Macaca fascicularis: one gene and its partner. The protein of the gene in region 1 purifies or fractionates together with the protein of each later gene. This does not show direct contact. Links are inferred from orthologs where the notes say so. Each region holds a gene or a part of one and is shown on either strand. Other genes may lie near its edges.

Region 1 (3,681 bases):
CTAGACTTCTATGTTCCTCAAATTGGTGCTTTGACTATTCACTCTCACCCATGGCCACCTTTTTTCTCCTTCCTCCTATGCTTTACTTCTTGTTTGCAGCCTTACTTGATGGCAGGGAGTGTGTGGAAAAAACTTATTACACAGTTAAATAGTTATTAGAGAAGAATCCCATAAACTTAAAAGCCCAAATTTACATCAACTCTACATACATGTACATAGTTGAAATCAGTGTGAACATAATGTTCTGAGGCTTCTCTTTTCAACATTTTTTTCATATATCCCTTGATGTATTGACAATTCACATTCATTTTCCATGACTCTTTCCTTAATCTTTTTTACTTACTGGAGAGAGAGATATATATATGATTTTCATTCTTTTTCTAGTTAATTAGCAATTCTATTTTAACCTAGGATAGAACTGAAGGTTGCCAGAGGAAACCAAATAACATGTTCTCAATAGTTGATGAAATTAACTACACACTACACCTGGAAAGGGATAAATCAAAAGCTTTGTGGCAGCTCTTTTCATTGGGTTTAGAGACTTTTTACCACTGACGTCTGTCTTACTTTCAAGTTTTTGGCTATTATCATAAATAGTGGTTGCTGCAAATGACTGCCAGAAAAGTAGGGCATCAGTATACCTAAAATGTAAAAACTTCAGGTTTCTGTAGATTTTTAAATACATGAAAAATACCTTCAGTATTGTATTTCATTCGCATATTGTTGAAATAGTCAAAAGCATTTTTTAAAGCCCATATTCTCACTACATTGTCTTGTCCAGCTGAGGCAAGTAATCGGCCACAGTGAGAAAATTTCATGGTCCAAACAGCTCCCTATGAAAACAAAAGAAGGTTCAAAGTTAATACTTTACAACTTTAGAGACTTTACTTTTGGCCGGGCACGGTGGCTCACATCTGTAATCTCAGCACTTTGGGAGGCTGAGGCAGGTGGATCACCTAAGGTCAGGAGTTCGAGACCATTCTGGCCAACATGGTAAAACCCCATCTCTACTAAAAATACAAAAATTAGCTAGGCATGTGGTGGGCGCCTATAATCCCAGCCACTTGGGAGGCTAAGGCAGGAGGATCACTTGAACCTGGGAGGTGAAGGGTGCAGTGAGCTGAGACCGTGCCATTGCACTCCAGCCTGGGCAACAAAAGCGCAACTCCATCTAAAAATAGTAATAAATAAAATAAAATTTAGAGACAAGACTTTAAAGCCAAAGTTTAAAATTATGCCAAATAATGTATACTAAAATAATCCTCACATTGCTAACACTACTTAAGTCCAAAAGTTCAATGGTGCTTTAATACCACAAAAGTAGAATTTCAGAAGAAAGGTAGGGTAAGATAGTTGTGGTGTTCCATAATCCAAACTAACAACTTCAAGAACTCAAACCCTGTCCACATATTAACAGAAATGGGAGTTCTAAAGTGGTCAGAAATCTTCATTGGAAAAGCACAAATCGTAGTTGGGGATCTCAGTCCCCTAGCTGAACATAAAGACGGGTGGCAGAGCCCTCAGCATAGCACTAACAACTGAGCAGGATTGAGGAAGACTAAAGCCCACCTTGGCAGTGACCCTCATAGCACCAGGTACTTAGAAGTATTACAGTTTTGGAATGGGCTGGGCATGGTGGCACGTGCTTGCAATCCCAGCACTTTGGGAGGTCCAGGTGGGTGGATCACTTGAGTTCAGGAGTTCGAGACTAGCCTGGGCAACATGGTGAAACCCCATCTCTACAAAAACCACAAAAAATTAGCCAGGCATGGTGGTGCGCACCTGTGGTCCCAGCTACTCAGGAGGCTGAGGAGGGAGGACTGCTTGAGCTCAGGAGGCAGAGGCTGCAGTGAGCAGAGATCCCGCCCCTGTACTCCAGCTGGGTGACAGAGCAAGACTTTGCCACAAAAAGGAAAAAAAAAAGGTAGTAGTATTAGAATGGTGCATCCTACTTTTTTCTCTAGAAACAAGGTTTCAAAGTATATGGCCAGAATCTCTAGACACTGAAAACAGTAGGAAAGTATGTGTGTGTGGTGGGGGTAGAGGAGAAGGGAGAGAGAACACGAACCTCTTAAGTTGGAAAGACCAAATATTATTACAAGAAATACTATTATATACACATTCAGATGTATCAAAAAGATTATGCCACAGCCCATTTATTGAAATAACCATTCACTTCTACAAAATTCAAGTGTATTAAAAATGAGTCATTTGGAGCCTACTACAATGAGATTTTATTTAAAACAGGAAACAACGAGTCAATACAGTACTAGGAAATTTATCAATTTCCTTAAGGAAAATACTAAAATCAACTCAAACATTTTATCTGTAGATTGTAAGCATCAAAATTTAAATTTGAATTTGGTTGCCATCCAATATATTTATGGTTGCTTCCTTCCAGTTAAGCCAACTTTTAGACTTAAAATGTAAACAGATTCCCTAATCAAGGGTACAACATTATTCAGTTCTAAATTTTATCACTGCCTTCCTTGTGTTCCTAGCATTTTCAGGGGTTAACTGCAATACAGTTTGTGCAACTGCATCTACATTGGTACTTTTGAACTCTAAAGGAGCACTTGAACTTTTACCTCTCTCCTTGTTTTAGCTGAATATCTCACTTTACAACATATATTGAGCTTCTGATGTATTTTGTAAATTATTTAAAATATGGTTGGGAACATTTTAAACATTTTTCAAAGTTACAGACCACCCTCTAATTTAACTGCTTTAAAGTTTGGTGCCTTTGCATAGGTTTCTTAGTGATATAGGCTGAGAGTTTACTTATTCAATAACTCATTTTTTTCTTTTTCTTTTCTTTTTTCTTTTTTTTTCGAGACGGAGTCTTTTACTCTGTAGCCCAGGCTGCAGTGCAGTGGTACGATCTCGACTCACCACAACCTCTGCCTCCCGGATTCAAGCAATTCTCCTGCCTCAGCCTCTCAAGTAGCTGGGATTACAGGCACCCACCACCATGCTCGGCTAATTTTTATATTTTTCATAGAGACAGGGTTTCGTCATATTGGTCAGGCTGTCTCGAACTCCTGAACTCAAGTGATTCGCCTGTCTTGGCCTCCCAAAGTGCTGGGATTACAGGCGTGAGCCACCACACCTGGCCGATAAGTCACTTCTGGAATACTTCAGAGACAGACTCTGTATTACCTATTCATTAAATCATGTTAACATAAATTCACCGTTCTTGAGTCAGGCTAGCAAAGTTACATACATAGAGATAGTTTTGTAGAAGCCAAAGTATTTCTCTTAACAAAAACAGTATCAATCCTAAAAAATGAAAAAGTTGCTTACCATATGTTCACCACTAAGATCTTGCACCACTTTGATCTGATCAAAATCATAAGGTCCTTTGAAACCGTGTGCTGCTTTGAATTTAACTGGTCTTGTGTATGGCATTCCTTCATCATCACTTGATGAAGGATCATCTTGATCAGTATGAAACACTGAACAGAAAAGCAATAGAAATCACTACTAGCTAATATAGATATTGCTACTATCATAGTTTCATATTTCCTGCATACCAAGAAAATTCATTAAATGGAAGAGCAAAATTTATTTATTACGTAACATACTGGTTAAAAACATGGAGTCTAATGCCAGACTGCCAGGTTCAAATCCAGCTCTGTCATTTATTATCTGTGTGACCACAGGCAAGTTACTCAACTTTGG
Region 2 (2,362 bases), on another chromosome or scaffold:
CAGGAAGTTCCTTACTCACCAACCACAGACTTCCACTCCTCCTGTTTCAAGGCACCTGACCCAGCTTAACACAGCCAGGCTTAGGAGCAATGTGGCTTGATGTATGTGACTTCTAAGGACTGCCTTCCTTCTGATGAACTTGTCCTCTCAAACCTGTGCACAGTGGGACTGTGCCCAGAACGCCTGTTACTAGTCTCAATGGCATGGTTCCCTGACCTAGAAGCGAGGCTGCTTTTTACTGAAGGCCAAAGCAATGGAAGGCCAAGGGTGACCAGGTGCTCAGCTTTTTCAGCAGTTTTATTTTTCATACTGTCAGCTGAAGACAACCAAAAAAAAAAATATATATATATATATATACACACACACACACGTACATTTAAATCATGAAACACATATTTCCCAGTGATAGAGCTCATTTTAAAGTCAACCTTCCAATGGCAAAATAATAAAAATGATAAAATAATTCCCCCCATAAAGCAAATGTGACAAAATGACAAAAGAATTCTTAATTTTGGGGCTTTATTATAATTTTTCTTTTCAAGATGCTACATAGTCAAACAGAACTGGATTGGTCTTTTATGGCATAAAATTAATTCACAGTCAAACTCTCAACTAGTACTAGAAGGATTAGCTGAAGAGTCTCTCTCTCCCACTGCTCCCCACCCCCAACTGCTGGTGCCCTCGATTCTAACCTTCTGCACCCCGATCCATTCGTCCTGACTCCAAGCTAGGTCCCCAAGGAGAGGTTAGGCTCAGACTTGGGCCTGGGTGCTAAAAGTATGAGTAATGGTTGAGAGGTGGTATAAGAACAATCTAGAATACTGACTACTCTTCATTAAAAAAGGTAACCTAGAGTTGACTGTCACTACAGAGAATTTCCCTCCCTATGACAGTTGTTATTTACTGACCCAGAAAAACACTTCCTGACAGCTCTTCTCCAACATTCCAATAAACCCCACCTCCACATGACCAGACTCTCCAGAGACAGAGGAGCCCACAGACCTCCAGCAGCAATACCAGTTCACCCACCAGAGTTTGGCAGCACACAGCATTAACTGTACTCTTGTGACAATAAGAAAACATGAGATGAAATACATTAAATAAGTTAAATATGCATTAAACATCTCTGAATAACAGTTCAACTTCACTACATGAACCAATAAAAATTTAGCTTGGTCCCTTTAAGAGAACAAAGCACTGCCATTTATTTCCAAAGCGCTGGGTCAATCAGTCAACACACGCCTCTCACTTATGACGAGTACGTCTGATGCTGCCACAGTGCAATTCCTTTGGGCTTCTGACTCTGTTCATCAGTCCCAAGGAGCTGATGGCTTGGACAGAACTGAAGACATGGAAAGCAGCCTGGGCCGGGAGTGGGCCACGTGGGGACTACTGTGTGGAGATGACCTCACTCCCCACCACGCTGGGCTCCAGCTCCCCACGGGCCAGCACCAACAGGCGAGGAAGAGTGTCATTTTAAGAGAGGTAATCCAGCATCATGTACCAAGGCCTACCAATGTTTAAAATGACATTTACAATATGCCATTGTGACATTACTCATGGTTTCCCTTGTCATTAATAAAGATCATTCTTCCCCCCACAATCAGTTACTATACATTTTTAACTTTCTAAAAGATTGTTACATTATATTTGTGTGTGTGTATCTGTGTATGTGTGTGCAGGGAGGGGTAATTTAAAGGCAAGACCTGTGAGATGTCATCATACATTAATTTCTTTTTACACATGGTTATGATAAATTTAAATCCCATGATATGGTGGATCCATCAATCCAATTTACCATCCTGTGCATGCTACCTCTACAAGGCAATCTTCCCAATAATTACACCAACAATAAAGAACAAAACCACCAGAGCCAAGAGCCGGGTGCTAAGGCCTTCTTCCTTCCCAGTTGGGGCTAGCGCTGAAATGGGGCTGTTGCTCTGCACTGTCTTCCTCATCCGCAGTCCATCTTCTTCCTATGGGAGCAAATGCACATTTCAAAGACAAGCCAAGGCACCAGAAAGGGGAGTCAACCGTACAGCTTAACAGGATGGGCTGTTCATGCCCAGTGTTGGCCGACATGATATGGTCCAACCTCATTTTGCAAATGGAGAAACTGCAGGCTACAGAGGGGAAAGGGCTAGCCTGAAGCCACAGAGAAAACAGTCCCCTCTTTTCTTTCATACATTCCACTTGATGCTGCTAGTTATAACAGAAATCTAAACAGGGTGCTCCTTGGTTTCCCATGATTTACAGAAAAAAGTTCTTAAAAGGGTCAACTGGGCCCTTTGCACCCTCAGCCCCACCCACCTTTACGGCCATGTCTTTCAGATGCTTCTCTTCAACCCCAACCTCTCTGTCC

Evidence for each region.
Region 2: the proteins of WDR44 (region 1) and VAPB purify together in Homo sapiens (affinity purification with mass spectrometry; 4 studies listed by BioGRID and IntAct, counting the BioPlex papers as one, with this or other methods). This does not show direct contact. The link is inferred for Macaca fascicularis from reciprocal best matches to the Homo sapiens genes WDR44 and VAPB.

Annotation. Positions count from the first base shown.
Region 1 is NC_088395.1:124,735,109-124,738,789, reverse strand, and holds part of WDR44 (WD repeat-containing protein 44), read right to left. Parts: intron 3,456-3,681; coding exon 3,304-3,455; intron 834-3,303; coding exon 695-833; intron 1-694. UniProt on the Homo sapiens protein: Downstream effector for Rab11 which regulates Rab11 intracellular membrane trafficking functions such as endocytic recycling, intracellular ciliogenesis and protein export.
Region 2 is NC_088384.1:114,511,466-114,513,827, reverse strand, and holds the end of VAPB (vesicle-associated membrane protein-associated protein B/C), read right to left. Parts: intron 1,977-2,362; coding exon 1,818-1,976; 3' UTR 503-1,817; downstream 1-502. UniProt on the Homo sapiens protein: Endoplasmic reticulum (ER)-anchored protein that mediates the formation of contact sites between the ER and endosomes via interaction with FFAT motif-containing proteins such as STARD3 or WDR44.